Linked DNA regions of Elephas maximus indicus. The protein of the gene in region 2 interacts with the protein of the main gene of each other region in a biochemical or structural test. Links are inferred from orthologs where the notes say so. Each region holds a gene or a part of one and is shown on either strand. Other genes may lie near its edges.

The links.
Region 1: the proteins of BCL2L1 (region 2) and SIVA1 form a complex in vitro, tested with the Homo sapiens proteins (2 studies listed by BioGRID and IntAct). The link is inferred for Elephas maximus indicus from reciprocal best matches to the Homo sapiens genes BCL2L1 and SIVA1.
Region 3: the proteins of BCL2L1 (region 2) and BMF interact in a test that uses a peptide from one of them, tested with the Homo sapiens proteins (2 studies listed by BioGRID). The link is inferred for Elephas maximus indicus from reciprocal best matches to the Homo sapiens genes BCL2L1 and BMF.
Region 4: the proteins of BCL2L1 (region 2) and BIK interact in a test that uses a peptide from one of them, tested with the Homo sapiens proteins (3 studies listed by BioGRID and IntAct, with this or other methods). The link is inferred for Elephas maximus indicus from reciprocal best matches to the Homo sapiens genes BCL2L1 and BIK.

Annotation. Positions count from the first base shown.
Region 1 is NC_064828.1:119,050,149-119,057,720, forward strand, and holds the start of SIVA1 (apoptosis regulatory protein Siva), read left to right. Parts: upstream 1-4,394; 5' UTR 4,395-4,468; coding exon 4,469-4,586; intron 4,587-6,451; coding exon 6,452-6,658; intron 6,659-7,238; coding exon 7,239-7,395; intron 7,396-7,572. UniProt on the Homo sapiens protein: Induces CD27-mediated apoptosis. Inhibits BCL2L1 isoform Bcl-x(L) anti-apoptotic activity. Inhibits activation of NF-kappa-B and promotes T-cell receptor-mediated apoptosis.
Region 2 is NC_064843.1:37,711,127-37,719,240, reverse strand, and holds the start of BCL2L1 (bcl-2-like protein 1), read right to left. Parts: upstream 3,192-8,114; 5' UTR 2,984-3,191; intron 2,918-2,983; exon of another isoform or gene 1,872-2,917; intron 1,622-1,871; 5' UTR 1,498-1,621; coding exon 934-1,497; intron 1-933. UniProt on the Homo sapiens protein: Potent inhibitor of cell death. Inhibits activation of caspases. Appears to regulate cell death by blocking the voltage-dependent anion channel (VDAC) by binding to it and preventing the release of the caspase activator, CYC1, from the mitochondrial membrane.
Region 3 is NC_064828.1:15,925,066-15,932,639, reverse strand, and holds the start of BMF (bcl-2-modifying factor), read right to left. Parts: upstream 3,257-7,574; 5' UTR 3,144-3,256; exon of another isoform or gene 2,775-3,143; 5' UTR 2,647-2,774; intron 593-2,646; 5' UTR 588-592; coding exon 296-587; intron 1-295. UniProt on the Homo sapiens protein: May play a role in apoptosis. Isoform 1 seems to be the main initiator.
Region 4 is NC_064822.1:187,371,866-187,379,521, forward strand, and holds the start of BIK (bcl-2-interacting killer), read left to right. Parts: upstream 1-4,512; 5' UTR 4,513-4,573; intron 4,574-7,656.

The DNA.
Region 1 (7,572 bases), on a different chromosome or scaffold from region 2:
GTACGTTTCTATTTAAAGACATCCTATTTAATATATATTGTTGACTCATTAACACTGAACTCAGGGCCAGCAGCACTGTAACTCACACCTGAATGAAGCTTTATCTAACACGTGTGTTTTCTTCATGAGGCTTTATCTAACACGTGTGTTTTCTTCACGAGGCTTTATCTAACACGTGTGTTTTCTTCACGAGACACATCACAGCCTTCCTGTGCTTAGGAACACTCAACAGCACTTCAGCACAACGCCTGGGGGCCATTTTTAAAAACAAAATTTTATTGTGCTTTAAGTTTACAAATCAAGTTGGACTCCCACACAAAAACTTATAAATGCCTTGCTATATACTCCTAATTGCTCTCCCCCTAATGGGATAGCACTCACCTTCCCTCCACTCTCTCTTTTCATGTCCATTCGGCCAGCTTCTGACCCCCTCTGCCCTCTCATCTCCGCTCCAGACAGGAGCTGCCAACATAAGTCTCATGTGTCTACTTGATCCAAGAAGCTCATTCTTCATCAGTATCACTTTCTATCCCATTGTCCAGTCCAATCCCTGTCTGAAGAGTTGGCTGTGGGAATGGTCCCCGTCTTGGGCTGACAGAAGGTCTGGGGACCACGATCACTGGGGTCCTTCTAGTCTCAGTCAGACCATTAAGTCTTTTTACAAGAATTTGGGGTCTGCATCCCACTGCTCTCCTGCTCCTGCAGGGATTCTCTGTCGTGTTCCCTGTCAGGGCAGTCATCGGTTGTAGCCAGGCACCATCTATTTCTTCTGTGCTCAGGCTGATGGAGTCTCTGGTTTACATGGTCCTTTCTGTCTCTTGGGCTCATAATTACCTTCTGTCTCTGGTGTTCTTCATTCTCCTTTACTCCTGGTGGGTTGAAACCAATTGATGCATCTTAGATGGCCACTTGCTAGCATTTAAGACCCCAGATGCCACTCTCCAAAGTGGGAGGCAGAATGTTTTCTTAATAGATTTTATTATGCCAATTGACTGAGATGCCCTGGGGGCCATTTTAAACAGCAAAATTACTAATTTATTTATATACCACTGCTTTTCAAGGTGCATCGGCTTAAAATGTATTTTTTTAATGCTTTACAAAATGAACAGGGAAGGTAATTAGGTAAGATGAGCCAAAAAAATAGAAAACAAGCTGAAGCTTTAGTGAATACACAGAACTGCAAACCAGAGAGCAGCTGTCCTAGCCCCCTCCTCTCCCACACCTTCCTTGGGTTGGGGCTACAGGAACAGAAGGTGGGCTGTGGGCTGCGTGCAGTTCAGGGAGCTGGCTCTGACTACATCCCCATCCTCCCGTTCAAAAGAGCATTTTAGAGCCCAAGTGAGCGCAGCAGCCATTATTATTGGAAAAGCCATGAATTAGCTTTAATTCACTTTTAAAATAAATCAGAATCCTGCTTTTTAACACTTTAAAGACGTCTTTTGCATCAGATTTGCCCAATGCAATGCACTGTTCGATTTCTTGACTGCTACTTCCCTGGGTGTTGATTATGGATTCGACTAAAATGAAATCCTTGACAACTTCAGTGTTCTCTCCGTTTATCATGATGTTGCTTATTGGTCCAGTTGTGAGGATTTTTGTTTTATGTTGAGGTGTAATCCATACTGAAGGCTTTGGTCTTTGATCTTCATCAGTAAGTGCTTCAAATCCTCTTCACTTTCAGCAAGCAAGGCTGTATCATCTGCATATCACAGGTTGTTAATAAGTCTTCCTCCAATCCTGATGCCATATTCTTCATATAGTCCAGCTTCTCAGATTATTTGCTCAGCATGCAGATTGAATAGGTATGGTGAAAGGATACAACCCTGATGCACACCATTCCTGACTTTAAACCACGTGGTATCTCCTTGTTCAGTTCCAACGATTGCCTCTTGGTCTATGTACAGGTTCCTCGTGAGCACAATTAAGTGTTCTGAAATTCCCATTCTTCACAATGTTATCCATAATTTGTTATGCTCCACACAGTCGAATGCCTTTGCATAGTCAATAAAACCCAGGTAAACATCCTTCTGGTATTCTCTGCTTTCAGCCAGGATCCATCTGACATCAGCAACGATATCCCTGTTTCCAGGTCCTCTTTTGAATCCACTTTGAATTTCTGACAGTTCCCCGTCGATATACTGCTGCAGCTGCTTTTGAATGATCTTCAGCAAAATTTTACTTGTGCGTTATATTAATGATATTGTTCAATAATTTCCACATGCAATTGGATGACCTTTCTTTAGAATAGGCATAAATATGGATCTCTTCCAGTTGACTGACTAGGTAGCCTTCTTCCAAATTTCCTGGCATAGACGAGTGAGCACTTCCAGGGCTGCATCTGTTTGTTGAAACACCTCAGTTTGTATTCTGTCAGTTCCTGGAGCCTTGTTTTTCGCCAATGCCTTCAGTGCAACTTGGACTTCTTCCTTCAGTACCATCGGTTCCTGATCATATACTACCTCCTGAAATGGCTGAATGTCGACCGATTCTTTTTGGTACAGTGACTCTGTATTCCTTCCATCTTCTTCTGATGCTTCCTGCATTGTTTAATATTTTCCCTGTAGAATCCTTCAATATTGCAACTTGAGGCTTGAAGTTTTTCTTCAGTTCTTTCAGCCTAAGAAATACTAAGTGTGTTCCTCCCTTTTGGTTTTCCATCTCCAGGTCTTTGCCATGTCATTATATTTTACTTTGTCTTCTCGAGCCGCCCTTTAAAATCTTCTGCTCAGCTCTTTTACTTCATCATTTCTTCTATTTGCTTATCTACTCAACATTCAAAAACAAGTTTCAGAGTCTCTTCTGACAACCATTTGGGTCTTTTCTTTCTTTCCAGTCTTTTTAATGACCTCTTGCTTTCTTCATGTATGATGTCCTTGATATCATTCCACAATTTGGTCTTTGGTTATTAGAGTTCAATGTGTCAAATCTATTCTTGAGATGGTCTCTAAATTCGGGTGGGATATGCTCAACGTCACACTTACCCAAATAATAGATTAGCTTTTAAAATTAACACTATCACCTTTGAGTAATGTGCTCCCTTAAACAATTAACCGTATGAGACCAAACAGTGAAGAGTTACCCAAAAGCAAAGGTGAGAAGCCCAGAGGGGCAAGGAAGCTAGATCAATGGAAACAGAACAGAATAGAAATGAGAATGCTGATGCATTGTAAAAATTATAACCAAGGACACAGAATAACCCGTACGAAAATTGTTAAAAACCCTAAAAAACCAAACCCCAGTGCCGTCGAGTCGATTCCTACTCATAGCGACTCTATAGGTCAGAGTAGAACTGCCCCATAGAGTTTCCGAGGAGCACCTGGCAGATTCGAACTGCTGACCCTTTGGTTAGCAGCTGTAGCACTTAACCACTATGCCAGGGCACCTAATTTGCTGTGTAAACTTTCACCTTAAACACAATATTATTAAAAAAAAAAAAAAAACAGTAAAACCAGTTACTGTGGACTTGACTCCAACTCATGGTGACCCAACGTGTCAGAGCGCAACTGTGCTCCACGGGGTCTTAAGCGGCTGGTTTTTGGAAGTGGATCGCCAATCCTTTCTTCCGAGGCTGTATGGGTGGACTCACACCTCCAACCTTTCCATCAGCATCCAACGCTGACCCTGAAGCTAACCGGGTCTCCCCCATAACGGAGGACCCCGCGCCCGACCGGGTCTCCCCCATAACGGAGGACACAGCCGACACCCAGGCGTGGACGTCCTCGGGGCACGTGCCCTCCGCCACGTCAGTGCCGGGAAAGGAGGGGAAGGGGTGCCGGCCACGTGGACCCAGTCCCTGCGGCGCTGGTCCTACATGACTCTACTTTTCTGAGTGCTTGGAGGTTTTCAAAACTAAAATTAGAAAAGGATGAATTCTCTTCAAACTGCGATAATTTAAACACGGAAATAAAACCCGTATTCAAGGTGTTAAAAAAAAAAAAAAAGCTGGAACGCCTGGCCTCTCCAGCGCTTCCGAGTCCCGCCCCCTGACCTCTCCCCCGGCCTATCCTGCGCCTCGAGGTGCACAAGTCCCGCCCCCTCCCGCCCTCGGCCTGTCCCTCGCCACGCCGTGAATCAGTCCAGTCGCCGACCTGGCCCAGGCCTATCCCGCGCTGCGTTTGCTCAAGTCCCGCCCCCGACGCATTCTACCCGCCCCTTGACCTGGCCCCCGGCCTCTCCCGCGCCGCGCCGCGCACTAGTCCCGCCTCCCGACCTCACTACGGCCTATCCCGCCCCGCAGCTAACTAGCCCCGACCCTGGACCTCGCCCCGGCCTTTCCCGCGTCGCCGCTTCCCGCCCACCGCCGGACGAGTCCCGCCCCCTGCCCTTGCTCCGGCCTATCCTACCCCGCGCCGCGCCACTGCGTGCCCGAGCCCCGCCCCCGCCCCGGCCGGGGATTGGCGCGCGGCTGTGACATCAAGGGTCAGCGACGAGGCGCGCGCCGGCCGAGCAGCGACCCCCGGCCGCGGCCATGCCCAAGCGGGGCTGCCCCTTCGGGGACGTCGCCCCGCTGCAGCTCAAGGTCCGCGTGGGCCCGAAGGAGCTGAGCCGCGGCGTGTGCGGCGAGCGCCACTCCCGGGAGGTCTTCGGTGAGCTGGGGCGAAGGGCCGGGCTGGGCGGCCGCGGCGCGGGAGGCCCCCGGAGGCCCAGGACCCGGAGCCCGCGGGCGAGTGCTGCCCCGGGGCCGCCGGTCTCCGGGCGTGGGGTCCGTGAGCACCGGCAGGGGAACGGGCCGCTCTCGTCGTAGCAGCCGGCCACCCGCGCAGCGAGCGGGGCCTCCTGCTTGCGGCTCTGGGCGGTGCGGAGGGGCCGACGGGCTGAGCGGCAGGAGCGTCTCTCCTACCCGGGCGGTGTTCGTGGGTCGCCGCCCCCGCCAGCGGCCCGGCGGGCGCGCACGCGGGAGGACTGTCCGGAGGGACCAGAGCGGGCCCGCCAGCTGAGGACCTCGGTGACGCTGGAGAGGGGCTCCTGGGGTGCAGAGGGAGCCGGGTCCGGCAGGGCGAGCAGGAGAGAGCCTGGCAGAGACGGAGAGGTCAGGGCAGAGAGAAGGGCAGAGGCCGGGCAGAGGAGAGCCGAACAGTGTCTGGTAGCCACGGCTCCCCCTGGCCGCACCATCCCAGTCAGGGTGGGTCGTAGGGACGGTCAGCGCTCAGGATTTGGGGCGTGCTCCGTGCTGATCATCGCTTCCCACTCGCGGTGATTGATACCATGGGGCAGGTACAAAGTGGAACTTACCCTTTTGGCTGGGGCACGGGGTGTTTGTAATTGAGGGGCCGCGTGTGTTTCAGGGATCTGGGAGGGCGCCTGGCCTTAGGAGAGGCCCCCCTCCTTGAGGCTCCAGCAGCTGGTTCTCTTCTCTTGCTGGTCCTTCCGCAGCACCAGCAGCTGCTCTGCCTTTTCTCCCCTTGTACACTAGGTTGCAAAGTCAAATGGGTTCTAAGGCTCTGAGCCGCTAGACAACCACATGTACGTGCCTTAGATATAAAGATGTTCAAACACTTCAGACTGCAGGCAGAGACAGGATTCCAGAGAATCGAGGCTTGTCAGGGACTTGTCCCTGGGCGCTTATAACTAAGTACAAGACGAAGGTTTGAGCTCACATGTACCCAGCTCTGAGCCTGAGCCTTCACCCCAACCTCTTTGCCACAAGCCCCTGAAGACAGGATTGGCCTCACCCCGAGACTCTTTCCCACCGTGGCAGTTTATTTTATAAACGGTGGGCACTGGGTGGCTGGGTTGTCATCGCCACTGCACTTGAGCTACTCCCATTCCCTCTGGTCCATCAGCTCCTCGGTAACCGGGCCCCCGCCCGGCTGTTAGGGCAGGGTGAGAAACCAGAGCCGCACTGGGTCTGCGACTGCTCCCCTGGGGACTCTGTGGCCATGTAGGGAGGTAGGTTCTAGGTCCCACAAAGGGCAGAAGGGGGTGGGCAGCTTTTGTTGGGACCCATTGTTGGGGTGCCTGGGCCCCACTCTACTGCAGGTGCAGGGCGGCTGGCTGGGGGTTGGCCCAGGCCAGAGTCTGAGGGCTGCTTATTGGTGGGGAACTTGTTCTCATGGCCTGTTCTCCGCAGCGGGGGTGCTCTGTGCCAGATGCTGAGCTGTTTGAGCAAGGAGGGGGCAGGGGCACACAGCCGTAGGTGAGGCCCCCATAGGTGAGGCCAGCTGGGAGACCCTGTGCCGAGAGCCGCTGTGGGAAACGAGCAGTGATGGGAGGGTGCGGGTGCAGCGTCTGGAGCCTTCCTGCAGGAGATGGCGGCCAAGGCCAGGCACCGAAGGGAGGGGAGGACCCAGCTCACCAAAGCATGGCGGAGGCCAGGGTTACAGATGACACAGGGCACAAAGGGCCTCACCCTGCCTACTGGAGGGACCCTTGTGGGGCTCAAAGGACAGTGTGGCTGTTGCGGGCTTTGTAGACCGATGGTGTCAGCATGGAAATTTCGTGTCTTCTGCAGAAAGGACCAGGCAGCTCCTGTTCCGTGGAGCCCAGGCCTACATGGACCATGTGTGGGATGAAGGTTCGCCAGAGAGCTGCACCCTTGTCCACCTGCCTGAGTCCCCGAAGCCCAGCCCCACAGGTGTCCCAGGGGTCACCAGTGGGCAGATGCTGATCGGACCGGGTGGCCGCCTGCTGAGGAGCCATGTCCAGGCCTCAGGGGCCGGTGAGTGCAGCCACGGCAGGACAGAGCTCTTCTCCAGCCATGATGCTGTGTCCAGGGCTCTCCACCAGCGTCTCTCCTGCCCAGATGAGCAAGGATCTTGCAGGTTGGGCGGTGCTGGGGATACTTGTTACCATAAGTTCTCAGTAGATCCCCAGATTTGGAAGTTGTCACACAGTTTCTAACTGTCGGGCCAGAAGGAGCAGAGACACCCCTGAGCGCCCCTCCGCTGTCCACTCTGGCTCTCCCTGGCTCCGTCATCCCAGAGGTAGAGAACACTGATTGTGGGCCACGTAAACTTTGTCCTGCTCTGTACAGCTGGCTGGGACCTCGGGTGTGGTTCTTACTTGTGAGATGCCATGCTTATTAGCTCCAGGAGTGTCAATGGGGGGTCCAGTGGAGATGTGAGGGTAGGCTTGGAGTGGATGCCCCACAGGACACAGCTTCAGGTGGTCACACCATGTGTCTCTGACCATGGGAGGTGATGCAGCATGAAAGGCTCCCACGGAGAGTCCATGGCCAGTTGTGGGTGGAGGTGGTGCCATCCTCATGGCCGACGAGTTATGGTATTTTTTCCTTGCAGACCCATTGGAGGCAGTGTCCAGGGCCTGCTCCTCGTGCGTTCGCAGTGTGGACGGAAAGGCGGTCTGCAGCCAGTGTGAGCGCCCCCTGTGTGGTCGGTGTCTGCGCACCTGCTGGGGCTGCGGCACCGTGGCCTGTGCCCTGTGCTCTGCCGTTGAGTAAGTGCTTCACCTCCGTGTCCCCACAGCTCGTCCTCAGGAGCACATCGTGCAGGGAGGATGGGGGCAGGACCCCAGCTGGGCCCTGGGCACCACAGTGTGGCCTCTGCCATTGGCATTGCCTGGCGGGCCCAGGGATGGTGTCAGCTTCAGTTATCTACCCAACTTCATCTGTTT
Region 2 (8,114 bases):
AGGCTCAAGAAGGTAAACTGCCCTGTCCAAGGTCTCACAGCTAGTTAAGTGACAGGGCTGGGACTCACACCTGTGTTAGTTTGTTTCCAAAGTCTGTCACCAAATTGCAATGCTCTAGAGAATCCCACAGACTGGGTTCTTGCTTTGCCATGAGTGCTTGGTGAAGAGGCCCCAGAACCCTGGCCGGAAAGCAACAGGCAGAGCAGCTGGAGCTCTCCAACCGACCCCAGGCAGTGAGGTGCAAAGTCCCCAGGCTTAATGCATGACACAGCAAGAGCTCCACAAACATACCACTCACGCAGAAAGTTGCACACTTAGGGGTGTGGTGCAAACAAAGGCTGGCACAGCCTACACTGCCCTAAAATAAGACAATCTTCAGCCATCCAACACGGTGGTGGAAAGTTTTGCCTGGCCATGCCCTATCCTGAGAGGAAAGTACCACACAAGGAAACTCCAAAATAAAGGGAACTTGTTTTGGGGATGGTTGACACCCTTGGGGGAGAAAAGATGGAGGGGTTTGTGGACCACTGATGCTCAGTCTCTTTTGCACGCATTATACTCATTACCTGTTTGGGTGGTGAACCATTGTGTCAGGGTGAGGAAACACTGGACTAACTTCCCACTTGCATAGGTTTTGACCTGAATGAACACATAGGCTATGTCTTCCTTCACTGAGGTACTGAAGCACAAGTATGAAAAAGTAGGGTCATGAAGATGACCAGAATGAAAGATGCCAGGTCCTTCAAGAACTAGGTCATCTGTATTTCCTAACAGTTAACTCCTTGTAGTGAAATGAGGCCAGTCACATCCCTGAACCAGCAACATCTCCAACCATCACCCAGCACAAGAGAAAGAGATACAAGGGAAAGGCTATTGAGGATCTCTCTGACCAGAGGCCAAAGAAATGGGACACACAAGGGGCGTGGTCCTTACCCAGCCGCCGTTCTCCTGGATCCAAGGCTCTAGGTGGTCATTCAGGTAAGTAGCCATCCAAGTTGCGATCCGACTCACCAATACCTGCATCTCCTTGTCTACGCTTTCCACGCACAGTGCCCCACCGAAGGAGAAAAAGGCCACAATGCGACCCCAGTTCACCCCATCCCGGAAGAGTTCGTTCACTACCTGCTCAAAGCTCTGATATGCTGTCCCTGGGGTGATGTGGAGCTGGGATGTCAGGTCACTGAATGCCCGCCGGTACCGCAGTTCGAACTCATCGCCTGCCTCCCTCAGAGCTTGCTTCACTGCTGCCATGGGGATCACCTCCCGGGCATCCAAGCTGCTGCTGTGGCCAGTAGCTCCATTCACCGCAGGGCTGTCTGCCAGGTGCCGGGATGGGTTGCCATTGATGGCACTGGGGATCTCCATCTCGGATTCAGTGCCTTCCGAGGCCCCAGTCCTATTCTCCTCCACATCACTAAACTGACTCCAACTGTATCCTTTCTGGGAAAGCTTGTAGGAGAGAAAGTCAACCACCAGCTCCCGGTTGCTCTGAGACATTTTTATAATAGGGATGGGCTCCACCAGTCCATTGTCCAAAACACCTGCTCACTCACTGAGTCTGTCTCTGTTAGTGGTTCTCCTCTGAGATCCAAAGCCAAGATAAGGTTCTGAAGGGAAAAAGCTTCAGGGGAAAAAAAAAATTAATATGTATGCCATCTCCCCACATCACATTCCCCCTCCGGGTACCAGAGCTGATTGTGTGGCTCTTATGACGGTCTGGGTCTAGCTTCCAGGAGACTTCGAAAAGTCAAATGGAAAGCCCCAGTGGGCTCTGAATCATCCACCAACCTCTTTCACTCTAGCCACCCCCTATTCTCTGAAAAGCCTTCCTCAGAAAGTCACCCTCACGGGCAGTCCCCCACACCACCTACATTCAAATCCGTTTCAGGCAGCGGCAGGCAGGTGCAGCCCCCGGAAGATCTTTTGTATCATAGGTCGCGAGGGGAGGTGGCGGCCGAGATGCCGGTAACTCAGCCGGCCTCGCGGCGGCTGGCAGAAAAAAAAAAAAAAAAACCAGCTCCAGCCGGAGGGCTCATGCGAGCCGGCAGGCTGGAAGCCCTGAAGGCGACACTGGAACCGCGGCGCTCAGGAACCGGCTCCCTCGCTCGCTTCCTCCTCCATCGCCCAGACCGAGGGCGGCCGCTCCGCCGCGGCGGCCTCCTTCCACCGGGAGCCCAGCCCCCTTGCTCTCGCACGCCCCTTGGCTCTCCGCCTCCTACCGGGAGCCAGGAGAACTCCCCCGGAGGCGGCTGCTGTGCCGTTTATTTATTTATTTATTTAAAGGACCAGCTCAGGGTGAAGCTTCTGAAACCCTGCAGGGACTTCTCAATGGGCTCAAGGTTTCGATGAGGGGAGGAGGAAGGAGGAAACAGCCTCGGATGCGCGATGTGGCTTCGGAAAGGCCATCCCCGGCCCTTTCCGGGAGGCTGAAGGCCGGGGGCCCCCCACAAACGCTGCTGGTTTTCTTTGAATTCCCCAATGGCCCTGGACGTGGCGGTGGTAGTAGGGGATTGCCCGGTCCTCCATTCCCCGCCCGGACACAATGGCCGCCGGCGCCGTGCACAAAGACCGGGTGACGGTGAGGCGCCCGGCTTCTCGGGTCGGAAAGTGGGGTCGAGGGCCGTTCGAGGCCCCCCACAGCCGAGACCACGTTTTCCTGGGGACAGGCCCACGGCGGTTTCCTGCCGCCCCCGGGAGGGCTGAGGGGCCGGGGGGGCTGCACCTCCGAAGCCCGGAGTGGGTGGGCTGCGGCCTCGCGGCTTCTCCAACAAGCTAGGCCGGGTACCCGCCAGGCCACCGCCCTGTTGCTAGGCAACCTTCTTTCCTCAGGGGCTCCCCCTAGACCTTTCTGGGAGGAGGGGTCTCGCCCCTGGCGGCCGCCCTACCGTAGCCAATCAGCGAGCCCAATAGGCACGGGCGCGGGACGGCGAGGGCTCCCATTGGGCGCAGCGCCTGTCACGCGCAGGGGAGGCGGTGCTCTCACCTGCGAGACCCGCGAGGCGTGGGGGGCCACATCCCCCTTCATGGGCCTGGTAGTTTCCAGACACGGGAGCTCTTCGCGACTGACTTCCGTGCCGCGGACCAGGGCCCGCCTACCTGGCTGACTGCTCTTGCCGTCTCTTCCCAACAAGCCGGCCTCAGTTTCCCCTGAAGAGACCGGGGGAACTTGCAAGCTCAGTCACTTCCGGTGCTGCGGCAGCGCGCGCGAGCCCGAGACGCAAAGGGAGTGCGCGCTTTAAATGACTGGCGTCAAGGCGTGGGAGAGAGCGCCCTCTTACGGAACATCTGGGGAATTCGAAGCCTTAAATCAACATTTACATTCACACATTCATTTATTCATTCCGTCTCTTTCATCAACCTGTTAATTTGTATGTCGAGAAAGCGTCACATTGTGGCTGAAAACAGAAGCCCTGATGGCGCAGTGGTTAAGCAATCTGCTGTTAACCGAAGTATTGGCAGTTGGAACCCACCAGCCGCTCTGCGGCTCCGCAGGACAAAGACGTGACAGTCAGCTTCCTAAAGATTTACAGTCTTGGAAACCGTATGGGGCTGGGGCTGTTCTACTGTGTCCTATAGGGTCGCTATGAATTGGAAACGACTAGCCGGCAATGGATGTGGCTGAGAAACTTATCTCTGGGGTTCCGACTTTGCCACTTGGACAAGTTACTCAGCTGCTCTGTTCCTCAGTTCCCTCACCTGTGAATTGGGTAATAGTACCGACTTTCTACGTAGGGTTATTGTGAGGATTAAGAGAATTATTATTTGTAAAGTCCGGAGAACAGTGTGTATACCATAGTATGTGCTGTGTAAGTTTATTCAACAAATACTGTTTGGGTTGCTGAAGATAGAGTTAGGAACAAGACAGATACAGCCCGTTTTCCTGGAGGCTTAAACCATTTTTTTTTTAAACCATAGAGATGGAGAAAGACAGTAAGCAACTAAGAAAATACACAAACAAGATAATTTCAAATAGTGATTGGTACTAGGAAGAAAATAAATTCGGGGTATTGTCATAAAGAGGGCCAAGGAAGAGAAGAGGTGCTGTTTTAGACAGGGTGGTCAGGGGAGAGGCATTTATTCACAATTATTTATGTAGGGTAGCTAGGGATTGCCTCTTTGAAGAGAAGACGTTGAACCCAAGACTAGGAGGATAAGAAAGTGCCAGCCTATCCGAAGAGGCTGGAGAACATCAACCTAGGCAGAAGGATAGCATGTGCAAATGTCCCGAGGCAGGAAGATCTCCACACATGCCAGAAGCTGAAAGTGAAGCAGTATGGCTGGAGAGTAGTGAGAGAAGGGTATAGTGTGAGAGGAGATTAAAGTTAATCACGGAAATGAGTTGGAATTGATTCTAAGCATGGAAAGGTATGTTAATTGATTAAAAATAGGTATATAGGAACACTGAGTATTAAAAATGTACAAAAGCACGTGAATGAAAAGCAAGTCCTCTTTTCACCCCTGCTTTCAAGTCCCTGGTTCCCCTCACAGAGGCTATCACCTTTTCCCATGTAGCCTTTCAAAGATGGTTGCTATATTCAGGAGCTTATTTATATGTATAAATGTTTTACACAAACAGTAGCATGCTACACACACTTATACACCTTGTTTTTTTTCACTGAGCTCTACATTTTGAAACTGCCTCAAGTTTTTAAATTAATGCACAACTTTATAAAGACATGCTATAATTTATTTGCTCAAGCTCCTATTTAGGAACATTTAGATAGACTCCGCAGGCTGCCAGAAGAATGAACAAATCTGTCTTGGAAGAAGTATAACTAGAACGCTCCTTAAAAACGAGGATGGTGAGACTTGGTCTCACGTACTTTGGACATGTTACCAGGAGGGACTAGTCCCTGGAGGAGGACATCATGCTTGGCAGGAGGACATGAAGCACTTACTGATGAAGATCAAAGACTACAGTCTTCACTATGGATTATAACTGAAAAAAAAAAAAGAAGCCCATTACTGTCAAGTTGATTCTGACTCATAGCAACCCTATAGGACAGTAGAACTGACCTATGGAGTTTCCAAGGAGCACCTAGTGGATTCGAACTAATGACCTTTTGGTTAGCAGCCGTAGCACCTAACCACTAGGCCACCAGGGTTTGGATTATTCCTCAACATAAACACAAAACACAAAAATAAGTAACATCATGATAAACAGAAAAGATTGAAGTTGTCAAGGATTTCATTTTACTTGGATTCACAATCAACACCCATGGAAGCAGCAGTCAAGAAATCAAATGACATATTGCATTGGGCAAATCTGCTGCAAAAGACCTCTTTAAAGTGTCAAAAAAGCAAAGATATCACTTTGAGGACTAAAGTGCACCTGACCCAAGCCATGGTATTTTCAATCGCCTCATATGCTTGCAAAAGCTGGACAATGAACAAGGAAGCCCGAAAAAGAGTTGATGCCTTTGAATTTTGGTGTTGGCAAAGAATACTGACTATACCATGGACTGCCAGAAGAATGAACAAATCTGTCTTGGAAGAAGTACAGTCGGAATGTTTCTTGGAAGTGAGGATGGAGAGACTTACTTTGGACATGTTACCAGGAGGAACCAGACCCTGGAGAAGGATATCATGCTTAGTAGAGGATCAGCAAAAGAGAGGAAGACCCTCAACAAGATGGACTGACACAGTGGCTGCAACAATGAGCTCAAACATAGCAATGATCGTGAGGATAGTGCAGGGTTTCGTTCTGTCGCACGTAGGGTCGCTGTGAGTCGGAAAAGACTCGACAGCAGCTAAGAACAACAGGTAGATTCCAATCTTTTGCTATTACGAATAATGCTGTCACTGGTCCATTCATTATTCTGCATATGTGGGAGTTTGTCTGCAAGGTAAATTCTTGGAAGTGAATTACCAGGTAAATGAGTAAATGTATTTTTTTCTTGCTTTTAATGGCTATTGGCAAACTGTTCTATACAGCAGTTGTACCAGGTTACTCTTCCATCAGTCAAGTATCATACTGCCTATTTCCTCACACCCTGGCCTACACAGTGTGATACCAAACCTTTTGATCCTTGCAAATTGGATAGGTAAAAATTGAGAGGTACTTTTATTTTTCAGTCCCTTTATTATAAGTGAAGTTGAGCAATTTTTCATATTTTCGAGCGATTTTTTTGGACTTGTGTTGGTAAATTCTCTGTTCATATCATTTGCCCCCTTTTCAGTGGGTCTTGCTGTTGAACTTTTCCCTCATTGATTTATAGGGGTTTTTATCCCTTTTCCCCCATATGTATGAGTTGCAAATATTTTTCTGGTTTTATTACTTATTACCATGAAAAAACTTTTAGCTTCTATATGTTTTATCAATCTTTTTCTTTGGGGCTTCTGGGTTCTGTGTTATACTTAGAAAGGCCTTCTCCAGTTCAATTTTATAGAAAGAATTCTACATGTTGTAGTTTTACATGGCTTCATATTTTACATTAAAATTTTTTTTCCACTGTAAATTCACTTTGGCATAAAGTGTGAGTAAGGATCCAGAATTTTTCCCCCAAATAACTACCCAGTTAGTTGTCAACACCATGTATGGTCCCATCTTTTCCCATTCATTTGAAATGTTTCCATTATCATAAATTACATTCCAATGTGTATTTGGGTCAATTTCTGAGCTTTCTATTCTGTTCCATGGGAGGCTTTTAAGCTGGGGCAGGACATGATCTCATTTACATTTTTAAAATCCGTGGCGTCACAACAATTTCTATGTTACGAGTACCATTCTGGGTGGTGCCAAGAGTTAATGAGCTTGGCTGCTAAGCGACCAGTTGGTGGTTTGAGTCTTCCCAGAGGCGCCTTGCAAGAAAGGCCTGGTGATCTACTTCTGAAAAAAATCAGCCATTGAAAACCTTATGGAGCAGAGTTCTACTCTGAGACACATAGGGTCGCCAGGAGTTGGAATCAACTAGACAGCAGCTGGTTTTAAGTGTGCTACGGGAGTCGCTATGAGTCGGAATTGACTCGATGGCACTGGGTTTGGTTTTGGTTTTATGGGAGCCCAGCAGAGGGTGGGATCAACTGTGCCCCGAGGTGCAGGCTCTGTTGAGCGATCCCTGAAACGAGAGTAGAATTTTGTCTGAGAGAGAAAGGACATTAAGAGCATTTCAGGCAGAAGTCACAACAGTTGGACACAAAAGCCCGCAATGTGTCCTAGGAATAAACTGGGATGCTTGAGAGGGGAACAGTGGTAGAGGAGATTGAAGGTAAATGTGTGGCCACATGTACAGGTCACTAAGTAGCAGCCAGGTTTTTTTAAACAAGGAAAGGACATGAAGAGATTTATATTTTGGAAAGATAGAATACATCGTGCTAAGGTCTCTGTAATCCTCCCAGACGGTTAAGCACTTGACTACAAATTGAAATCCCATCTGGATTTTGCTGACTGCATCCTTGTGATGTCAATTAACCATACTTTAAAAATAGTGTAATTTTATAGAGTTAGTACTTATTAGATTTGTTATGACACTTTCCTATGACACTTTCCCCTCTTTATTATTAATAAACTTAAAAAAAATATTCTTAAAAATTCAGATGCCACTTCTTGTGCCTTTCCTCTTCCATATGAATTTTAGAATCAACTCGCCAAGTTCCATGACAAAATCTCTTGGGATTTTCATTGGGATTTCCCTGAACTTTTAACATCTTTACAATAATATTTTCCCATCCATTAACAAGGATTTATGCCAAAAACCAATCCCATTGCCATCAAGTTGATTCTGAATCACAGTGACCCTATAGTATACAGAGAATGACCCCATAGGTTTTCCAAAAGTGTAAATCTTAACAGAGACAGAGTGCCAAACCTTTCTCCTGCAGAGCAGCTGGTGGGTTCAAACCACTGACCTTTAGGTTAGCAGCCAAGCACTTAACTGCTTTACCAACAGGGCTTCTAAACAAGGTTTATAACCCAATTCAATGATTTTTTAAAAGTTATTCAATAAAGTTTTACAGTTTTTAATCCTGGTGGCGAAATGCTTAGGTGGTAGGCTGCTAACGGAAAGATTGGCAGTTCAAACTCACCCAGCAGCTCCTCCTGTGATATTCTGCTCCTGTAAAGATTGTTGATGTTGCTGTTAGGTGCTGTCAAGTTGGTTTCGACTCACAGTGAC
Region 3 (7,574 bases), on a different chromosome or scaffold from region 2:
GCTGAGGCCCAGTACCCTCCCTCCAGCTCAAGAAAACACCATGGGCCCAAGGATCCCTCTGAGAAGGGACCAAAGAACAGAAAGAAGGGCAGGACAGTTTGCCTCCTTGGGGCCCGAGTAGAACCGGTGAGAAACAATACCAAGCAGACAGGCAGGAGGTAAGAGTCAAGGAATGAACTGCCCCTGCTGCTCAAATTGGGGAAGGAAATAATAGCAAAGGGCAGGTTTGGGGAGGGAAAGTCCCCTCTCTCCCCCCAACTTCTATGGGAGGAGTTCTGAGGCTAAGAGCACTCACCATAAAAGAGTCGCTGGGGTTCCTCGGTCACCCCACAAGGCAGCATGACACCCTGGCTTGGGGAGGCTGGGCTGAGGGTCTGAGTTGCCTTGTCCTCCTGGCTGGTGTGTCGAAGCCCAGGGCCACAGCAGTGGGTGAGAGGGAAGAGCTGAAGCCGGCTGAGGGGGCAGTCCAGCTGGCTCTGGGCAAACAGGTCAGCAGAGAGCAAGCCCCCGGGCTGGGTCCCAGGCTCCCCCTCCTCTGGTTGGAATACATCATCCTCCAGCTCCTCCACACACTGAGATGGCTCCATCTCCCCTGTCAGTGAGCAATGCAGGCATCTGGGATGCTGCCCCACCCAGGCCATACCTGAAAGGACTCCTCTCCTCTCCCCTCCCTTCCTTCTTCCCTGCTCCCCCCTTCTTTGAGGGAGCTGGGCCAGGGTCTGATGACACACCATCCTGGCAGTAAAGCAGCACCAAGGGTGACACCCACCCCCAAAGTGTGGACTGCTTCAAGTTCAGGGACTCTCCACACCCCTTCCCTGGGCCACCTTCCCCTCGGCCTCTTCTTCTGACCCAGGCCAGTCAAGAAGCTGGACTCAGAGGGTTGTGAGCCATGGCAGGGGTAGATCAGCTGCTATGGGCACATAGGGTAAACTGGGGAAATGTAAACAGGGCTAGTCTCTGAGCCGCTGGGGTGGGGAGGGCAGAAGGGTGCTACAACCTTTCTGACTGGCTGTACACACAGTGCGCACAACACACACACACACACACACACACACACACAATCACTGTCCTAAGGTAACCACCGAGCTTTCAGCTCAGTCTGAGCGGAGCTCCAGGCGCAGGAGCAATAACAAAAGCCTGCAATCCTTCTGCAGCCAGGTTCCCTCCAAACCTGCTAAGCCCCGCCCTGCTGGCCATCAACTCTCCACCCTCCTCCACCCTCCACTTACTCAACACAACAAACCGGCTCAGTGGTGTGGTAAAAAGCATGTCTTGGGAGAGGGAAGGGAAAAAGGCCCACCAAGTTAGTCACTGCAGCTCTCAGGAGGGCAGCAGAGCTGTCTGTCCACCACTGGCTGGCCAAGAGAGCAGGTCCAGTATCTGGGAAAGTGTCCAGCCAGCTCAGACTACGCACTAGCCTCCCGGACTGCAAATCCCTGTCCCCACAGCCTACCATTCTTGGCAGCGCTGAACCTGAGATTGGTACAACCTGCCTCACAGAAGGAAGTGAAATTCGGCCCTCTCTTTGTGACCTCACTAGCTGCCTGTACTATTCAAGTTGTTGATATGAGTTTCTCGGTGATAAAGAAGTTCCTCTTGCTCCACCTGATGGCTCTTGGAAGTCTGCACTTGGAGCCACCCAGCATCTTCTGCTCCCAGCCCAGCCCCGGTACACACACACACACACACCCCAGGAACCCCTTTGCCCCTGGGGCCAGGAGCATCAACCACCTCTGTGGTTAAAGATATGGACAGACAGTTTGTCACTGTCAGACTCAATTAGAGATCTCTGGGGATTCTGTCCCCCAGTCTCTTGCCTTTGAAGAACAAGTCAAATGGTTTGCGGGTTGGTGAAGTACTTGAAGGAATCTCAGTGTAATTCAGAAATCCTTGTTCACCCAAATACACACTCTCTCTTGGGTGCTTGCCTCAACTCTCCCTCCCTGAGCTACCTATGGTCCTGTCTCCACCCTCCTCCCTGGAGAATGAGATGCCTGCCAGGATGGCAAAGCAGGCACTATCTTAGGATAGTGTTTCCCAAAGGGGAGGGCACTCCAGCTTATCAGCACCAGGAAACAAAGTTTTCCGTTGAATGGACCAAGAGCTGTCCTGCCAGTCACCTGGCAGGGGCTTCCCTCCTGCCCTTCAACCCAGAGTGATGGCTACAACCTAAGAGGGGGCCCTCCAAGGGGCAATCACAAGCAGGAGTCATTGTCTGGTTTTGCCTTTGAAGCCTGTCACCTACCTCTCGCCCAGGCAAAGCCCCAAAGTTAGACCCTTGCCTGGGCTGGAGAGTGGGGGAGGTGCAGCCAGAAGGTGTGGCTCTGTAAACCCCAGGGACCTCTTCCACTCCCCAGGTACTGCAGGTGGATCTCCTGTGGTAGAAGGTCCCGAGGCATGCTGGGCAAATTCAAGTTTAAGCCAGAATAGCGCTTAGAAGAGACCTTCTGCCTCTTCCCCTGAGCTGAAGAAGCCATGTCCTGACCGGTGTGAGGGGGACACTTCCTGACACCACCACGAGGGATCACAGCCTCTAAGGGCTCTAACAGGGATGCTGAACTTAGGCTCCTCCCAGGAGAGAGCAGTGACTAGACACTGGTCCTTGACTGTGGCTAAAGTCTGGGAACACACACACACACACACCTGGGTGACTCCAGGAAAGAGTGTCAGTCTCCGGGTCGTGACGCCAGGGCTCCGCGCCAGGGTCCAGCGTGACGAGCACTCGGGGGCTTGGCGCCCAGATTCGATTGGGAAGGAGGGAAAAAGCTCAGCTGTTAAGGAGAGGAGGCTTCAGGCTCCGCAGGACGCCCACAACTTCCCGCTCTACCCCAAAGTCAGACCCAGAGGATGGGCCGTTCTTGGGCGCCCAGGTCCGCTCAGCAGTGCACCCCCTCCTGCCCACCAAGACCCAACTCCTCCGAATCCCAAACGCTACCCTCAAGTTCCCTCTTGCGGCAGCGCACCCAGATGTGGGCTGTGCACCCCGTTCCCGTACCCCAGCGTCCCAGTACTTCATGGTCACCCCAAACGCCCGCAGCCCAATTCTTCCCGGGCCCCCACGCGCAGCGCGACTTTGCTCCCCACTTGCCCGAGGAGGTGCGATCCAACTCCGCCCAGCCCCCGGCCGCCCGGGCGCTCACCGGGCAGCGGCGGCAGGCGCGGCGAACGGACGGCGGCGGCAGCAAGCGCTGGCGGGCGCTGGTGGACGAGACTCAACACCGTGCGGTATTGTTTCCAAAATACCCCCGCTCGGGGCATCCTGCAAACAGCTGATGAGGCTCCGCCCCCTGGGGCGTCACGCCGAGGGCTGGCCAATGGCGAGTGAATCCCCAAGTCCCGGGCTGGGCGGCTGCCAGGGACGGTCACGAATGTGCGAACTTTCCCTTGGAAACATTGCAAGGGGCCGAGCAAAATTCCGACCTCCGCCAGAAGCGCAGTTAGAGCGCCGTCCTCCAAACAGATTCAGTTCTAAGGCGGGCTCAGAAGCAGCAGAAGAACCAGAGAGCCCTGCACGTATTGCCCATTGCCTTCGAGTCCATTCTGACTCCTAGCGAACATACAGGACAGAGTAGAACTGCCCCACAGGGTTTCCAAGAAGCGCCTGGTGGATTCTAACTGCCCACCTTTTGGTTGTCAGCCATAGCTCTTAACCATTACGCTGGGGCACCAAAGTGACTTTCGTCCAGGGCTTTGAACCGGTTTGAACCGGTTCGGCAATGGACAAGGAAGCCTAAGCGGAACAGACCCGAATATTTACAATGTGGGAGGTCCAGAAAAGGAAAAATTAGAGTGGAAGCCCTGGAATGGGAGACTCAGAAGAGGTGTAGGGATCTATTTAAGGAGCCTGATGGTGAGATTGAATTATGGCAGGACTGTGGAGGGCGACACCTTCAAAGCAGCACAGTCAGCCCCCAAATTTGATTGGGGCACAGCTCTTCCCGACTCTGCTCAAAATCTGGAGAGAGATGGTTGCTATGCAATGCATACTGCTGCCCTTGTTTTCTAAGAGGGTGATTAGGTTTCTAACAAGGCTTCCCCGCCTCCCTTTCCCACCCCACCCCCCACCCAGTTCACCCAAATTTTAAAAATTCAGGTTTGCTCTGAATTCTCTTCCGTGGCCAGGACTGAACTGGAAAGAACCGGTTTAAAACCGTGCTTTCAACTTTTCTTTCTGGGGAATGGGCTGGGAAATTGTCATGTCCAGAAACCAAGGTAGGAGGGGGCAGGAAGCTTTTAGACTCGACAACGTTGATCTGTGGGTGCAAGGTGGATCCCCGTCTGGTGGCAAAGCGTCCTTCCACCTGTGGGGTGATTCAGGGCAAAACTCTAGCTCCAAATCTGTGCAAAGCTGTTACTGAGCACCATTTAGATCAAACACATCCAAAGGGGCTCTTATGTTCTCTTATTGACTCGGCTTGGACAGTTGCAAAGTAAGCATCTGGCATGAGGAGACCTGGTATCAAGAATGCAGGGGTTGCTAGACAGGCATCCTGTCTATGGTGCGCTGGGAGGACAACATGACCTGCAATGGGCTACTTCACAAACCTTTACTGAGTGCTTACTGTGTGCCAGGTACTAGGGATAGGTGCCAAAAACCTGGTGCCTGCCCTCATGGAGTTTACAGTCCACTTGGGGTAGATCTGAAGATAATGGAAAGCAGCCCAAAGTGTGTTCATTCCAGGGATAATGACTACTGGAGCATGCAGAAAAATTCAGAAATGCAGACTTAGGAGATGCCTCTTCAGGGAGATGGCTTTTGAGCAGGGCCTTGAAGGATGGAGAAAATTTTTATAAGTAAAAACCAGTTGCTGACAAGTTGATTCTGACTCATAGTGACCCCATTATCAGAGTAGAACTGTGCTCCATAGGGTTTTTCGGTGGCTGATTTTTCAGAAGTAGATCACCAGGCCTTTCTTCCAAAGTGCCCCTGGGTGGACTTGAACCTCCAAACTTTTGGTTAGCAGCTGAACACATTAACTGCACCATCCAGGGTCTCCTCAATAAAGAAAGCTAGATTAAACAGCCCAGGCCTAGGGACAGCAGAATAAGGTGCTGAATTGGAGACCGTGTCCCGGGGAGCAGGGTAGGCTCAGTCACTGGATTGTAGGGTGCACAGTGGGATTTAGGAGGGGTGGGCATGAGCATGTAGGCTCAGGTCAGATTACAGAAGTGCCTCTGGAATGCCAAGCTGAGGAATCTGTACTTTATTCTGGAGGCAAAGAGGAACCAGCAAAGATTTTATAGACCTTGAATGACTTCCTCAAGCCTGAATTTTGGGACAGATAAATGAAGAGTCCAGAAATCAGTGAGAGTGAGCCAGTCCTGAAATAGACTGGGTGAACAGCGATGGGGTCTCGACCATCTAGGGGTGGTGGGGATTGATGGTGCATTGACCACCAATTTGCTTGCTCTCTCTGGGTTGTAGACTGTCATGGATTGAATTATGTCCCCCCAAAAATATGTGTATCAATTTGGCTGGGCCATGATTCTTGGTATTGAATGATTTTCCTATATGTTGTAAAGCCTGCCTCTATGATGTTAATGAAGGAGGATGGGCTGCAGTTGTGTTAGTGAGGCAGGACTCAATCTACAAGATTGGATTGTGTCTTGAGGCAATCTCTTGAGATATAAAAGAGAGAAGCTAGCAGAGAGACAGAGGGACCTCATACTATCAAGAAAGCAGCACCAGGAGCAGAGCGCCTCCTTTGGACCCAGGGTCCTTCCGTGGAGAAGCTCCCAGTCTTGAGGAAGATTGATGAGAAGGCTGACAGAGAGAGAAAGCTTTCCCCCGGAGCTAATGCCCTGAATTTGGACTTCTAACCTACTAGACTGTGAGAAAATAAATTTCTCTTCGTTAAAGCCATCCACTTGTGGTATTTCTGTTATAGCAGCACTAGATGACTAAGACATAGACTCAGACAGACTTGAGTTCAGTGGGTCTGGGACCCTCAGCCCAGTGGAGCCTAGAGTCTCCTTTTTCCTACCCATTCTTTACCTAACTCCCTCAGAGGGCACTTGAAAGTGAGTGAAGCAAGCAGACTGGGGGCTGTGCTTGCTGGAGTAGGAAAATCCTGTCCCCAAAGGACAGAGAATAGGGAAAAGGGAAAGAGGGAGGGCCAGTTTTGGCCGGCAGCCTGGTACCCCCAGGGGTTGTTAGATGTCCAGCTAGAGGTGGTTGGAGCCAAAGGGAGGTATATTATTTTACCAGGAGGTTTGGCCAAGGGGGAGTGTCAGAGCTGGTCAGGGTGACCTTGAACTCATGCCACATATGGTAGGGAGATGAGGAGACCGAGCCCAACCTCCTTGCAGGAGTTTGGAGAGCCCTCCATCACTTGCCAAGCACACAAGTCCCGCCCCTCCTTCCTTCTGTCTTTTCTTCTTATTGGCTTTCCTCCTGGGCCATTGTCTCAAGCGACCAGTAGAGCCCATGGCATTACTAAGAGTCAAGAGTAGAAGTGAAGGACAAAGAATATCTGAATCTGCCTTCTAGGGCAACACAGGCCCTGCTGGGGGGATTGTCATAACTCTCCGCTTTAGCAAAACCTAGCAAGGTGGAATTGGGTCTACGAGGCAAGGAAGCCGATAAACCAAGAAAACTAAACCTGTTACCATTAAGTCAATTCTGACTCATAAAGACCCTATAGGGCAGAGTGGACCTGCCCATAGGGTTTCTAAAGAGTGGTTGGTGGATTTGAAGTGCCAACCTTTTGGTTAGCAGTCAAGCTCTTAACCACTGTACCACCAGGGCTCCAAGGAAGCTGATAGAGGAGGGTTTTTACCTGGGATGCATGTATTCACCACACTCACCAGGATCATCTGCTTTAGGGTCTATGAACCCCTGAAACTGGGCTCAACTGTTTTTTCATGAGTGCACGCAAACATTTTTCTGTGTGTAAGTGTGTATATGTGTGTTTGTGTGTGTGTGTGTGTGTAGGGGATGGCTTCATAACTTACAACAGATTCCCAAAGGGGTCTGTAACCCTATAAAAGATTAAGAATCATCATTGTAGGGGGATGAGAGCCCGACGAGGCTAGAGAGCAGCAGAGGTCATCTTAGTGGGTCTGGGAAGCTTGCAAGATAGAGGAGAGCTACACCCTCTGGTGACATCTTTTGTAAGGCTTCCTTTCCCAGGGCTTCCCATCTTGTGCCCTCAGGCTGGTTCTGAAGGACACCCCGTGGTGGCTTGGCCTCCTGTGCTCTCAATCTCTAAGGTCAAGCAGCAGGCCCGGCCTCCTGAGCTGGAAGAACCAGAGAAGATTGCCAGGGATAAAGGGGTCAGAGAGGTCAGGAACCTCACTCCCCAGCTTTCATCACCATCAAAGCAGACCCCTCCCTCAGTGCCCCTTTTCCACTTCCAGCACAGGGCAGACTCAGCAGTTCGAGGACCTGCTGGGTTAGAGAGCTGGGCTCTGGACCCTCTCACTAACAGCAGCAGACGACCCCTAGGCGTTTGACTGGGCTCAGAGCAAATGCACATTGCAGCAATAGCAATCATTATGCTGGAGAATTTCCTTTCTCTCTCTCTTCCCACCCCTTGCCCCAATTTGTCTTCTCTGCTGCTGACTGATGC
Region 4 (7,656 bases), on a different chromosome or scaffold from region 2:
TGACGCACTGGGAAGAAGGCCCCACACCTCTCTGCCCAATATCCACACCTCCCTGAGTTTCCACGTCCTCACGTGTAAGATGGGATGTAATAAAGTTCCCAGCCGCTCTGTGCGTAACATCCCTGTCCACAAAGGGCCTCACTAACTGTGGACATCAGCTGCTGGCCAGATGTGCAGGGCACAAAGTGAAGGAGCTGCCCTGGCCAGCTGCAGAGGGGCAGCTGGATGAGCAGCTATTGGGATGCCCCTTTCAGGAGCCCTGGGCAGTGTCAGAGACTAAGGGCATTGTTTCCTCTCCAGTCCGCCTCCATATGGCTACCGGATTCCTCTTACTGAAGACTGCTGGGATCCAGTCCCTCTCTCCTGCTCAGAGGCCTTCCATGGCTCCCCAGTGCCCCTAGGACAATCTAGTCAAATCCACCTTTCCATCTGATCTCTTACTCCTCTCTTCCTCTTACCAGCAGAAATGCTCCAAACCAAAAACCAAACCCAGTCGCTGTCAAGTTGATTCCGACTCATAACAACCGTGTAGGTCAGAGTAGAACTGCCCCACAGGGTTTCCAAGGAACAGGTAGTGGATTCGAACTGCTGACTTTGGTTAGCAGCTGAGCTCTTAACCAGTGCACCACTAAAAAAAAAAAAAAAGGGCTCCAGAAATGCTCGCAGCTTCCCAAATTCACCCAACGCTTTCTTTGCTCCTGCTGTTTCCCCAACCTGAAATGCCCTTCTTCCCTATACCATTTGGTGAAAACCCAGCCCCTTCTCCAAGGTCCCCTCAAGTTCCTCTTCCTCCAGGAAGCCTTTCCTGATATGTTTGCACCGTCTCCGGAGCCAGATTTTAGTTTTCTGTCTCCTGAGGTCTTGGTCACTTTCAGTCTCGATCCTGCTCTGTATTATGTCTTGGCTTTGTCTGACTTGAAACTAAGCTTTTGCCATTGTCTCTGGCTCAGCTCAGCCCTGAGACAAGACACTCCCCACCCCACCCCCCCAAAAAAGATGTTTTCTGATTACTAAGTAAATACACGTTTATATAGAAAATCCGGAAAATACAGAAAAACACAAGGCGGAAAATTAACCCCCCTGTAATCGTTGTACCCAGAGAGTAACAGTCCTCCTGTTCTGTGGAGCTGTATTTCCTTCCCGAGTTTTTATATGTGGACTTAAAAAATACACGTTTCCACCAGACACACTGATTTGTGAAATGCGTTATTTCATTTAACAGACCACATGTCTCTAAGGTATAGTTTCTTTTGTGGACATGATAACTCTTCACCAGTTCTACAGTAACATTTACTGAGCATTGCTCTGCATTTACTGAGCACCTACTGTGTGCCAGGCCCCATGCTCTGCTTTAATCCTTAGAACAGCCCTGGGAGTGGAAAATCATTATCCCCATTTTACAGATGAGGAAACTGAGGCTCAGAGAGGCCCAGGCACTTGCCCAAGGTCACAGACGTTCTAGGTGGCAGAGTTGGAATTACAGGTGCCAAGTGACTGCAGAGTTCTGGCCCTCACCCATCAGGCTACAGATTCTCTCCCCAGAAAAGGCTTATATGACAACCGCAATTTCACTTTACTTTTGGAATTCACAGACTTCTGGAAGCCCAGTTACAGGCCCCCAAGTCCCTGTCCCCCAGGAACAGAACACCCTGGGTTCGAACCGCAGCACTTCACCTCTTGGTTGTGTGGCCTTGGACAGGTTAGGCCCCTCTCTGAGCCTCAGTTTCCTTATCTGTGCAATGGAGAGAATCATTCGTACCCTGCAAGGGCCATGAAGGGCACAAGAAATCACCCAGGTAACATGCCCAAAACACTGGGCTCTCAATAGCAGCTCACCCCACAAAGGTGTCCCCAGGAGGTGTCCACCAGGCTGACGCAGGTGAAATGCTATCATGAGGCTCAGGCCCTGCTTAGGTGAGAACAGCAAAGCCCTTTCATGAGTCCCGCCTTCCTGATGTTACAAAGCCTCCACAAAGCCTCCCCAAAGCCGGGGAGCAGGGGGATTTCCAGATAAGGTGTCAACCCAAGGCTGGGATGGCAAAAACAGAGCCATTTAAAACCTGCACTGGCTTCTGCCCCCTAGGTGGGGCCCTGGAGTGTGAGACCAGCACTTGGCCAACAAGTGCTTGTCCAGCCCTCTTTGTCCATTCTACCCCACCCCCTCCTTTGCTCCCCTCCACCCCCTACCGCGCTTCACTCTCCTTCATGGAGGCCTTGCTTGTGCCAGGCCTTGCTCCCCTGGCTGCAGGCGCCCCATCTTCCTGTCCGCCACTCGCATATGCCATCTCACGAGTCCCATCACCAACCCCCGTGTCTGGCACCATAGTAGAGGTCAATCAATATTTGTGCAATGAAATGGACAGATGAAGTCATAGCAAGGACAAAACCCAACCTGTAGTGGGCGTCAGAGGGTCCACTGGGCAGGGGTCGCTGAACAACAGACAGATGTTGTTGGGGCCACAGCAGGGGGGCTCGGCTGGGGCTGGCAGGATCCAGAGGCCCCCCAAGGCAGCTCCTCTAGACCAACGCTCTCAGCATGTTTGCTGAGCACCAACTGTGTGCGTGGTACCAAGCCTCTGATCTCTCTGGAAGTATTCTCACATACATTGAGGCTTCTTGGCCCAGGAGACCCCGAATCGCTGCTTTCCCTCTCTCAGTCTCAATTTTTTCATCTGCAAAATGGGTGTAGAGAGAGGTTACTATTTTGTAGGGCTCCTTGTTCCTGCCTCTCAGGTGCCCTGTGGTTATGGTCCAGTCAAGGGGTTGAGGCCGTCCAGGCTTTGCGGGCCTGGAGTTTTATGTAATTTGGAAGACCCTCCTTACAAAAAACAAAGCAAAAAAAGTTTGTCATTGAGTGGATTCAGACTCATGCTCCATAGGGTTCCGAAGGAGCAGCTGGTGGATTTCAGCTGCTGACCTTTTGGTTAGGAGCCCAGCTCTTAACCACTGCACCACCAGGGCTCCTCTTTACAAAAATAAACAAAAACAAACCCATTGCCATCAAGTCAATTCCAACTCACAGTGACCCTGTAGGACAGACCAGAACTGTCCCCTGGGTTTCCCAAGGAGCGGAGCTGGTAGATTCGGACTGCCAACCTTTTGGTTAGCAGCTGAGTTCTTAAGCACTACCACATCAAAAAGGTGCAGAAAATTACAGACACACTATAGGTTTGGCTTGGAAAGGGGTCTGAAGAACGAGATCCAGGGAGGGGCACTGACGTTTAAACTCCCCTCCAGTTTACTAAACATTTTCCTCTGATCCTCCCAACAGCCCTGCAGGGGCAGCGCCAGGCCCCTTTCACAGATGAAGACCCCGAGAGAGGAGTTATCAGTGTCATCACTTCAAAGGCGCTAAGAATGAGGCCCCTACAGGTAGCAAATGCGAAGCCAGCTGGAGGCGAGACCCTGTGGATGCCTGGCCTGTGCGGTAAACAAGCTTGTTGTTGTGTTCCCGGGACAATGGTAACTTTGTTACCCCGTCACCCCTCCACCCATCCAAAGCCTCCGCTGCAGGGCTCCTGGCCTGGGGGCTCGGCACCCTCCCCACCCCAGGGCTAGTCCGGCCTGGACCTTTCTTGACTTCTCCTCCTTGGCGAGGTTGTGGGCACTGTCTCATCCCGGCCCCCACGTGGGCCGCCCGGTGCCTAATCGCCCCCTATTTTCCCGCTGTCGCGAGTCTCAGGGCGGGAGGGGGGCTGCGGTTGAAGCCTGCACAGGGGCGGGAGGGAGGCGGGCAGGGTGGAGAAAAGCCCCCAGGCTTTGGTTCGGGGTGCTTGATGCTGGCTCTAGCCCAAGCCTCAGCTTCCACCTGTGTGAAACGGCTTTAAAAAGTCCAGACTCCTGAAGGTGTCTGCACAGAAAGTACGACGTTTTGAGCGCTGAAATCACTTACCATGAAGCCAGTCATTTCATTCTCCCTGTGCCTCAGTTTCTTGTTCGGGAAAATAAACATGAAAAAGCCCCGATCCCTTAGGACTTTTTTGAGGACGAAGCGAGGCGATCCGTGGCACGAGCCTTGATTGATCTACACAGACCCAGATGAAGTTACCGGGGCCTCCACAAACATTCATTTCTCTGGGCCTGCTGGGTGCACGGCCTCATGCTGGGCGCAGGGAAAAGAGCAGCGCAAGGGACAAAACAAGCTTGCAGATTAGCGGAATCAGAGAAGGTAAACAAGTAAACAGATCACACTTGTAGCAGCTCTGTTGCCACTCCTGCCTCAGTCTTCTCATCTGAGCAATGGGGCAGGGGAGGCCGCTCCCTGGGGCGGGGGGAAGGGCGGGGACGGGACGGGTCTGGGCCTGGGGGCCTCGGGTCCCGGCGGGCGGGGGTCGAAGCGGGGTGGGTGAACTAGAGGCCCCAGAGCGCCGGGCCGGCCGGGGCCGGGTGGAGGGCTGCGGGGGGCGGTCGGGTCCGGGCAGGCCCTGGGGTCGGGGCGGGGCCCGAGGGGCGGGGAGAGGGCGGGTCCCGGCGGGCCTGTACGGTCCCTCGCCGGCAGCAGAGCCGCAGACAATACGCTACCCGGCTCGCGAGCCCCGGACGCAGCCGCCGCCTCCGGTGCCACCGCCGCGAGGTAAGTCTGAGCCCCGGGCGCCCCGGCCGTGCCCGGTGCCCCGCTGGCATCCGCCCCTGCGCCCGGCCAGAGTCCGGCGGGTGGCCGATGGGGGCCGTGGCCCAGGCTTTTCCGACCTGAGAAGTGTCGGGTGTGTCTGCGGGGCGACGTCTCGGGACCCCGGATTCGCAGCGCCCCCTCTCTGGCTTGGGACTCTGGGTACTGTCATCCGACTGCGCCACCCTGCAGGCCTCAGTTTCCGCATCTGAGCAGTGGGGTGACGCCCCTGCGCCCGGTCGCTAACGCACCACCTGGCTGCGCGGCCTCCCTAGGCCGGGCTCTGATTTCGGGGTGCCTTGGCGGGGGGGAGGAGGGGCCAAGGGCACGGAGTCGGATCCCAGCCCAGGGCCGTGCCGGCAGAGACCCGGTGTCTACTAAAAAAGGGAAGATGGCGTCGGACACCTGTCCCCGCCGGGACCCGAGGCACCCCGAGCCGCCGCAGACCTGCAGAGGCGACGAGCCAGGCTTGATTATGGCACACGGGAAAGCCCGGAACAGGGGCTGCCACCGGAGCCGGGGCGGCCACCGCCCGCACCTGCCCACGCCCCCAGCACAGGTGCTTCCGCGGGCGGAGCTGGGGCGCGAACCCGGCGTGGGGGCCTGGCCTTGTTTTGTCAACACAGAGCCACGGGCTCTCGCGCGCTTAGCATTTGAATGGCCGAAGCGGCACGTTCCGTCCAGTGGCCCGGGAGGGGGTCCCCGCTGCCTGCTATGCGCGGCCACAACAAGCCCTGGCCGGCTGGGGACTTGTTGCACTTTCGCAGTCTGGCTTTGGACTCCTGCTTGCGAATCGGCTGTGTAAACCATTAATTGCTACTTTGATATTCGCTGGAATGATCCACCCCAGGAGGGAGGTGTTGTTTTTGTTGTTGCTGGCGTTGGAACATTTTCTGAGCACCTGCTGTGGCCGGGGCCCGTGCATGTGGCTTTCTCTGGTAATCCTCGCTCCAGTTCCCCTAGGAGGGAACACTGTTAGCCTCATCGTTCTCGCATTAGTAAGGGGCAGTTGAGCCCGGCGCTAGGTCTGGTAGGGCAGGAAGCTCCTAACGGCGGTGCTGGCCGCCTGCAAGGACAGGAAGCCTCATTTTACAGATGGAGAAACCCAGAGGGGAATCCCAGAACGCCTTACGATTGCTCTAGCTCAGAGCCCAGAACTCTTTCCTGGAAGTCAGGCCAAGCCTGCCTGCACTCTCCACTTTCCAGCTGTGTGGCCTTGGACAGGCTGCTGCACCTCCCTGAGCCTCAGTTTTCTCATTCTGTAAACCGGGGATGATGGTAATACCATATTCTAAAGGAACACCCGCCCACGTGTTGGTGGCTGTCAGTGATTCCTCTAGGGTCACCATTCACCCTTTCTCCATTTACGTTGAGTTTCTTGAGCACTTTGGCCTGCTCTTGGAATAAATTCTCAGGAGTGGCACAGTTTAATCTCTTGGTGAAGAGTGAGGTACAGTGGATCTGAGACACTGGTGGGCCCCCTCTCCCTAGGCCCTCCAGGGAAAGGCAGCCACGGGAGCCTTCTGCTGGGCCTGGATTTCACTGGCGCTGGGGCAGGTGTGAGCTGCCTGGCTGTTACTGCTCCCTGCTCCTCCCACGTCTCATCAATTGCCCACTCTTCTCTCCTTCTCACTGAGGATGTGAGAATTGAAAACTATCTTCTGAACTTTTAGGTCATGGACTTGTATAGTTGTGGTTTCTTCACACCTTGCCTGTGTTAGGTTTTACAATTTTTCTTTATTTTTGCTATTTTTAAAAAATGTTTAAAGTATCTGGGGAGACTGGCGAGTTTTAGGTAGCTAGCAGGAATAGTAACAGGGCGTGTTGGTGGTCTAGCGGTAGAGTTCTTGCCTTCCATGCAGGAGACCCAGGTTCGATTCCTGGCTAGTAAGCCTTGTGTACAGCCACCACTCTTCTGTCGTGAAGGCATGTGTGTTGCTAGAATGCTAAACAGGGTTCAGTGGAGCTTCTAGACTAATAAGACAGACTAGGAAGAAAGGCCTGGTGATCTCTTCCGAAAATTAGCCAGTGAAAACCCTCGGGCTCACAAAGGACTGACCTGCAATTGACCTTGGGGATGGCGTGGGACCAGGCAGTGCTTCGTTCTGTTGTGCACGGGGTCACGGTGAATTGCAGGCAGCCAACAACAACAACCAGGTACAATAACAGATAAATGACATCTGGATTCACCGAGCTGTTAGCAGCTCTTTTTTTCACTTCTGGTCGTCTCTCTTGAAACAAGCGAAGGGTGGTAACTGGGAGAGTTTGATCCATCAGTGAGCTTTGAAGCTGAAGCAGCCAGCAGCATTTTTCCCTGTCCCTGGAAAGTATCCTGTTTTTAGCATTAAGTTTGTGGACAATTAATGGCTTCTTGCTTCCCCTGCCTCGGACTTAGTGGATCTCAGAACAATTCCGAGCAGCGATGAGGAAGCTCTTGGGTTTTGTTGGCGGCAGCCTCCAGGAAGCTGACAGTGGGGTCTGCAGTGGCCATGTGCACCCGCTTCCTCGGCCTCCCTTTGTCCTCCAGGGCTGGGCCCTGGGAGCAGCACAGACTGTCAGCAAACCAGTGCAGGGACCCAGGTTCCTGGTTGGCTCAGAGGTAGGCGGGAGAGAGGGCAGGCGTGGTGGCTAGGGTGCAGGCCGGGTGGCAGGCGGGCAGCTGATTTTCCTAGTGTCAATACAGGGATGTGACAATACAAAACACTCTCCGGGCCTCACCAGGCATCGCACACAGAACCTGTTTTTCCTGAGGTGGGAGAAAACATGGTGCCTACCTGGTCACCCGGATAGACAGCAAAACTCAGGGGCGAAGGAGGAAGCCCACCTGGTTATTTCAAGGAGGGCCACTGTCACTTGAATTTTTTAAATTGAGGGGTTTTGACACTTTGTTGCCCTCAGCAAATTGCATTTTTTAATTTTGCTTGTTTTTTTAACTTTATTTAAATGGAGACGTATAGAATGTTATCTTTTACGTCTAGCCTTTTTCCTTATGTTTGTAAGAATCGTACTGTGATGGTTAATGTTATATGTCAACTTAGCTAGGCCAT